Mytilus edulis: one gene and its partner. The protein of the gene in region 1 purifies or fractionates together with the protein of each later gene. This does not show direct contact. Links are inferred from orthologs where the notes say so. Each region holds a gene or a part of one and is shown on either strand. Other genes may lie near its edges.

Region 1 (3,937 bases):
AAATAACATCCAACATGTCCAAGTTAAATTATTGACCATAAACTTTGAACTAATGTAATTTTATAAGACCCTAAAACTCTGCTCCTGGTTAACCTTTTTTTTTATGTAAACATAACCTTATACTTACTTGTCTAACTTTTTCACATATTTGTCAACATTCTTTAGAATTTCTGTCTTAATATCTTTCTTTGATACACTTTTTACTGCCTCTATAAATGTTCTTTTTAATTCCTCCTTGTCATAATCATCTCTGTATGCTAAAACGAAATTAGTCTTACTTTAAACTTGTTTAAATATAAGTTCAAGCTTGCATTTTGTGATTTAAAAAGGAAAGATCCAAACAAAATTTGTTTTGCATGGGTCTAAGAAACTTTGCAGTGTTAACACAGACATTTCAGCCAAAGTGGTCCATTTCAAGGCAATTAACTTTTGTTAAACAAAAAAATGTTTACAAATAATTTATATATATGGTTATATGAGGGGGGGATAGGACCTTTATCGGGACTACGGGATCAGGTGTTTTTAAGCTTGGGATTTCAGGATTGACCCTGTCGGGATCCTGGAATTCCTTTATAGAATTTCACGATGTTGGGATTTAAATTTATGTAAATTCAGGACCTCAGGATTTCATATTTTTAAGCCCGGGATTTCGGGATCAGGACCACTCCTATCCCCCCTCTTATATCAATTTGTGTATGAATTGGTATATTATGGGAATAAAGTTAAAGCTATCCTCTACTTCTAGTCACACATTTGACAATAAAAATATAATGTTGTTGCTGAGGTTCTTATCCAATAGGCAATACATGCAAACATATATCCAATATTTGAGCTGAGTAAGAAAATCAAATTTATACTATATAAAGATAACTTGGAGACCCTGGCCTTGAGAGGTAAAATTGACTACAAATTTGATGTGATCTGATTGTTCATGAAATGATTATTTGATGTATTGAAAATATAATTTCACCTTTCAACTCAATAGCCGTTTGTTTTGTGAACTTTGTGGCTTTTTTACTGATGTTCATTTTTATCTGTATTATGAGTGTATACTAAGAAATAATACACGTGCACTTTTCACATTAATAAGCCGAGTGAAGATGTTATCTGAATTTTGATTGGACAAAAGACAAACGGGGTATTCCGAAATATACCAATCAGATAAAAACGCTTAAGCTTTGAAGGATTCTCCTAAATATCAAAGGAACTACATGAACCTTTTCAAAATATTTAATAAATTCGTGTTTAATTGGATGATATACAAATAAAAATATCTTTTCTATACAAATTCCAAGCATAATATTTATACGAAAATATCTCGATTTTCAGATTTTACAACTCTGCCTTTCGGTGCATTGAATTGTGGGATAGAAAGGAATCTTTGATGCTTGTGTTTTAAGAATGAGCAAATTATTTCACTTAAATACGTTTACAAACAATACTTTTGTTTGTAGATGTGTTTTTATGTATCTTATTTAACCCAAGAATCAGTACAGAAGCATAGGAGTAGCCAGAATTGTCAATCAACGTGAAAAGACATGGATTTCGACAGAATGGAAAGCTCCAGTGAGGATATACAATGTTTACATTTGAAAATTTAATCGAATTTCAATGAATACATACTATTGTCATTCAATTTTGTGATTATCATGATATATTTTTGGTTCATGGCAAATTTATGTATTTAATTTCTATTTTCAGGCTTAAATGGGATGAAGGCAGGGATGGATGGAGACAAGAAACTTAGAAGAAATTACAAACTGCTTGTAGATCCTATGATAAGAGGAGGCTCCCAGAAAATCTACAGATTTGATGGGATAGATCCAACGGTAACATGTTATGATTTAAAGAACGAGAAGACTGTCAATTATAACTTTCTTTTCATGTGCATACTTGCACATATGTATACATGTATGCAGCTGAAAAGGAAATATACTTACTTCATGCATTTTTACAAATATGCATTGTCTTAGTACATGCACAAAATGTATGATGTATTTTTATCACAATTTCTGGATACACTCTTACATGGTCTAATTTTAAATGCAAATTGTAAAATTTGAAACCCACCGCTTGTTTAACATGTTTAAATGGTTATATTTTTTTACTTTCTGTCTGTACATGTACAAAATGTAGCTTCAACTATTACTGGTACATGCACTTATAGCATTTTATGTAAAAACATATTAAAAATGAAATATTATTATGTAAATTTGTGTAACATCGATATTGATGATGTAGCTGATTTTAAATTTCAAAGAATTCTGAATAGACTGTTTCATATCTGTAACACCAAAAAATCTTGCCATAGGCATGATAGATGTATGTTACATTGTAGACATCGGTAGAAAACCATAATCCTAGAAAAATTTACATAGATCCTGATTTGTTCAGATTAACATTTTTAGTGTATGAGAGATTTTGATAATTCTGAATATCATATGTATTAAAGACTATTAGAATAGTTATATCATTTAAGCTTTCCTTGTTATAGGACAGTCATCAAATCCACACTAGAGATCCAAGATCAAGGTTAACTCGAATGTGGACAAGAAGAATTCCTGCAGATTTACCTGTTCCAAGATTTACGGTAAAACTATGTAGTGTGTCTCAAAGTTCTCTCTAGAAATGGGTCATTACCCGAACTATGATAATTTTTACTAAGTGTAATAAATGTTTAACTGTTTCAATATGATCTGTACAGACGACCAATTTAATTTTTTTGTCTTAAAGGACTTTTTTGCTTTCCAATATAAATTATATAATTAGAAGATGTGGTACAATGTATGATTGCCAATGGCAATGAGGCAACTCTCCACCAGGGCTGAAGGCTGCAATGTTTCAGTTTCAGGGCCTTCAAAAAAAAAATTTGCAACATCATAGTGTATTGCACAAAAGCAAAAAATTGAACATGTTGAATATGAATTCGAACCATATATCCAATTTTAAGTTTTTTGACTACAGTTATTCAGTGTTCTAGGATTCCCATTACCCGTTACCCGGGGTAAGTGGATTAGGACAACGGGTAAGTCATTTTTTAGCCTTTGTCACCCGGTGGTAAGTCAATTTTCAAGTTCGGGGAAGCCGAAAAACTCTTGAAATTTCCCGGTCCTCTTCAATTTTCCCATACCTGCTTTTTATTTTTATTAAATCACGAGAAAAAACTTTGATAAAAGATCGAAGATTTTGTCGATGTCTATCGGCGCTTTTATTCAAGCACTCGTTTACTAGGTGTAATCAAGCGCAAAAGAGACCACATTCTTCTCCTATCATTCTAAAAGTTGGTCACGGTGTCGGTAAAATCGGAAAATCCGGATTGATAACTGGTGCTTAAATCGGGACATAAACGATTTTTTTTCTTGTCATCGGAGGAAAATAAACTTACAGTTGCATTTATTATAGCTCTTAATAAATGACATAGTAATAACTATAACATATTTGTCAAATTTAGTAAGAAATCGTTTTTGTTGCGCCGTCCGCATTGGTTGGCGGATTTAACTTTTAGATGTGGGTAAGTAATTTTTTTATTGATCTTACCCGTGGTAAGTCAAGGTGCCAAAAAAATCCTAGAACACTGTTATTCTGTGTCAGAAACCTTGTGTATAATGTGTCAAATTTTTGATTGCAATCCAAATTCAGACCTGTTTCAAGTGCGAATATTGTGTCCATTTTTATTCCAACTGTTCATGGTTGGACCTCTGCGGTCGTATCCATCAATTAAATTTATAATTGTGTTAATTTTTCCATTTGTTCTATTTTTAGTATGACCATTATTATGTTGGACCACCACCTACCAATGAAGTGACATTTACCAATCTAAATGACAATATTGACAAGAAGTTTTTAGAGAACATGTTAAAATCATTTGGAATGTTGGAAGAAGTGAACATTTTCTACAACCCAAAGAATAAAAAACATCTTGGTATTGGAAAGGTAT
Region 2 (3,937 bases), on another chromosome or scaffold:
AACAACATTTCGTATGAATGATATACGGGAGTCAGTTATAGTTATAGACACAGAAATGTAAGAAAAAGAATTAAAATGAATTTACGGGAGAAATAAGGTCGCACAATAACTGGATAGCTGTTGTATATTTTTATATATATATTTTGCATAAGCTCACTTTTAAATGAATTATGACTTCTGATTAGTTTTGTAACGATAAAATACTGAATTATTTTAATTGAATAAAATTATAAATAAAAATAGCCTTCTAAACACGAGTGTATGAACTAAAAATTGTACTTTTTAAAATTAAAATCGCCAACCTTTAATATTTCAAACAGATTGCAATTATATGATTTAGTCCATCCAAAGCGATCTTTATTTACCTATTTAGGAATTAATATTCTCATCAAAATATTTTAAATCTCACAACCCATGCATGAATACTTCAGCTATTTGAAAAAAAAAGATGTTTTAAAAAATTGACAGGAAATTTAAGTTTCCTCTTGGAATGGAATCGACAAATTACGAATAGAAATTCTTTTCAAGTGTGAAAAACGTCAACCAAATTTATTCATAATCGGGAGCGTCCTTATTAAAATAGTCTTCTTCTCACAACGAATAATACTTTAGCTATTTGACCAACAATGTTTAAAAAAAAAGACAACGAATTTAATGTCATCTTAAGTTCCCTATTTTTGAATGTAATTATAAGTCTGTTCAACTGGCAAGAATACCCCTAAAGCGGACAAGCAGTTTATTCTTTAAATTGATGTCATTGAATTTGAAGAAAGAAAATAAATCCCGAAATCAATTTGAAACTTTAATACTCAAAAGTTTTCCTAGAAAATACTCACATCCCTTGGGGTTTATTAGTGTACGTCCAGTTGCATATGTTTTACATGAATGTCGGAACAATTGTGATGATGTCGAATTTCTTCCTTTCATTGGAGAACGATCTAATTGATATATAAATTTGTGATTTTACTATGTTCATAACTTCGATGAACCGAAGCAAGTTATTATATCGACCTGTATTTAAATCAAATTGGTCCTCTTCTTCTTCTTCTTCTTCTTTTGGTATACAATGGTCTATCGAATTCGATGATTACATACTGTTGGCATACGTGGAATAGTCTATTTACAAAACTGTTACCCCAATTTACACAAAATGTATGTTTCTTTCTTATGTTCAATGTATACATGTAATAATTTTAAATTGCGATATAGCTCCGTAACTTTCTATCCAGGCGTAGAAATGAATCGTCGACAAGTGCGTACATTTTTATTAAATCAATATTTCTGGTATGTTCCAATCTGTCCTTTACTATTGACAACGAGTATATATTACATTTTCCCAAATTAAACCTTGGAAAAAAAATGTAAATAGATTTTTATTTTATCAAATCTTTTTTTTTTGGTATTATTTGTATTTTTATAAATAATATTCTTTACACCAGTAATGTTATTTATAAACAAGCGTATGAGTTTAGTAATGGCTATAGTATATTATATCACTTTCGGACACGCAAGACAGAGATGTATATTATACACCTGATAGTTCAAAATGGAGAGTTATAAGTTATCGGCCGTGTACACTGATCAATACCTACAGAAGTGAAACGATGCATGAACTTGCAAGCCCGACAGGAAATCGTTTGAATACCTGGACGTGTCACCTCACACCCCTCACAATACCTTTGGGAGTAATACCTTTAGTCATGCTGGTGATCAGATGAGGGAATATCCGAATTTATTTGAATAAAATTTATTACTTTAAAGAATTATAAACGAATAAGATTTACGAAAACAGTTTTCACGGAAAACTTATTTATGATTTAAACTTTGACTTTTTAACTAATTCCAATATTAACAGTTTAAAAATAACAGACTATGGTTATTTAAAAAAAAATAAGAACATTTTCTGTATCAAGTTAGTTTGTCAGATAAAACAACCGTACGATTGACAAGATATCGACACGCAATTACGACTACATCGGTTAGTGTAGTTTTGGTCCTTTGTGGTTTATAGACATATCGTGATTTTTAATCGGGGAAGACGACAAAATGGCGGAACGCAGAGAGTTGATACTCTAAATTTAAAATCGATGGTGATCTCTTATCTAGCGGAATAAAACTTTAATATCTATAAATTTGAGCATTTCTATATATAGAATGGACATAATATCAATTTTTGATTTTTTTGCGAAGTTTCCCTTTAAATGACAAATTTTACCATTTTGTTTTTTGTGTTTTTGGACATTGGTAAAGATGCACATAGAGTTTAGAAATAAGAGGTTTAAAAATCCTGTTGTTCACATCATTACCTTCTTAATTGAATGGTTGAAACAGTGCCTCCTAATTTTGTCTGCAAAGATTTAGACTGAACTTCTTATTAATAATAACATAAAAATGTATGGCTAGATAATTTTTTGCAACCTCATATGAATGTGTAAAATGCATGTTTTTATTGGAAATGGTAACGCCTTAAAAGCATGAAAACCCATAAAAGAGGGAGGTTTGGAGGGCCCTAATCCCAAAATCCCAGGCTTAAAAACATGAAATCCTGCAGAAGAAAAAAAATCTTGACATTACGAAATTCTCAAAAACAAATCCTGGATCCCGATAACGGTCAATCCGAAAATCCCTAGCATAAAAACACCCCATCATGACGTCCCAAAAAAGATCATGCCCCCCTCCTCCTTTTCCCCTCATAAAAAAATAATTTTAAAAATGCAAAGGGGAGATAATCACTCAAAACATAATTGAGCTTGTAGGGTTATATCAAGAAATTATGAAAATCCATATCATTCTCAATGTTAAGTAGTCGGATTTGAAGGATAGACGAATTAACTAGTCAGTATCACAGCCATATCAAGCTATAATTTATAGCTATAGGTTTACTTGCAGTTTTAAAAAACCTGATAGTTTTTTTCTAAAGATCATATAAAACTTGTAAATTCATGTAAAAAAAACTACTGATACGGACTTTGTACTATTTTAAAAGTTACACCTGTCTCATATTATAAAACTTACAGACATTCCACTAGCACTGCCTTCAGATTCTGACATAATGAGAATATACTACAACAAAAATTAGTAAGCCAAATCTGTCAATGTGTAATACGTCATCCCTTTTGCTGTCTTGAGAAAGATTTTAGATTAAAATAAAAAATCAGAATCTTTTCGGTGAAAGATATATAAAACAGTCAGAATATAAATATTGTTGAAATTAGAAATTTTCATTAGTAATAAATGTTAATAATCTAATGTCACTGAATGTGTATATAAAATGTTTCGGGGTAATTTAAATCATTCTTTTATTCACCTTATAACCCGGAAGTGAAAAAGTGCCGGAGATAATTTTGGAGTTTATGCCCAAAGCGAAACAAGTCAAATGTCCCTGACTGCTGATTGACATTCAAATAGAAAGTAAACCTTTCAGCGATGGAAGGGCTGATCCCTGTTATCAACAAACTGCAAGATGTTTTTAACACTGTTGGTTCAGAGACAATTCAGCTTCCACAAATTGTTGTGATAGGCAATCAGGTGCATGTCCTTAAAATAATTTGTATTTATCTCTGATGTAATTTCTATGTAAACATCAAATAGAAAGTAAACCTTTCAGCGATGGAAGGGCTGATCCCTGTTATCAACAAACTGCAAGATGTTTTTAACACTGTTGGTTCAGAGACAATTCAGCTTCCACAAATTGCTGTGATAGGCAATCAGGTGCATGTCCTTAAAAATAATTTGTATTTATCTCTGATGTAATTTCTATGTAAACATCAAATAGAAAATAAACCTTTCAGCAATGGAAGGGCTGATCCCTGTTATCAACAAACTGCAAGATGTTTTTAACACTGTTGGTTCAGAGACAATTCAGCTTCCACAAATTGTTGTGATAGGCAATCAGGTGGACCGTGCATGGTATCGGGATCGTTCGCCCTGATTACAT

Evidence for each region.
Region 2: the proteins of histone-lysine N-methyltransferase SETD1B-A-like (region 1) and CXXC-type zinc finger protein 1-like purify together in Homo sapiens (affinity purification with western blotting; 16 studies listed by BioGRID and IntAct, counting the BioPlex papers as one, with this or other methods). This does not show direct contact. The link is inferred for Mytilus edulis from reciprocal best matches to the Homo sapiens genes SETD1A and CXXC1.

What each region holds. Positions count from the first base shown.
Region 1 is NC_092349.1:14,257,369-14,261,305, reverse strand, and holds the start of histone-lysine N-methyltransferase SETD1B-A-like, read left to right. Parts: upstream 1-1,344; 5' UTR 1,345-1,538; coding exon 1,539-1,566; intron 1,567-1,701; coding exon 1,702-1,829; intron 1,830-2,494; coding exon 2,495-2,590; intron 2,591-3,762; coding exon 3,763-3,933; intron 3,934-3,937. Other genes in the region: glutamic acid-rich protein-like, read right to left, coding at 128-257, 971-1,028. UniProt on the Homo sapiens protein: Histone methyltransferase that catalyzes methyl group transfer from S-adenosyl-L-methionine to the epsilon-amino group of 'Lys-4' of histone H3 (H3K4) via a non-processive mechanism.
Region 2 is NC_092344.1:87,712,028-87,715,964, reverse strand, and holds the start of CXXC-type zinc finger protein 1-like, read right to left. Parts: upstream 3,138-3,937; 5' UTR 3,052-3,137; coding exon 3,016-3,051; intron 1-3,015. Other genes in the region: dynamin-1-like protein, read left to right, coding at 3,794-3,895. UniProt on the Homo sapiens protein: Transcriptional activator that exhibits a unique DNA binding specificity for CpG unmethylated motifs with a preference for CpGG.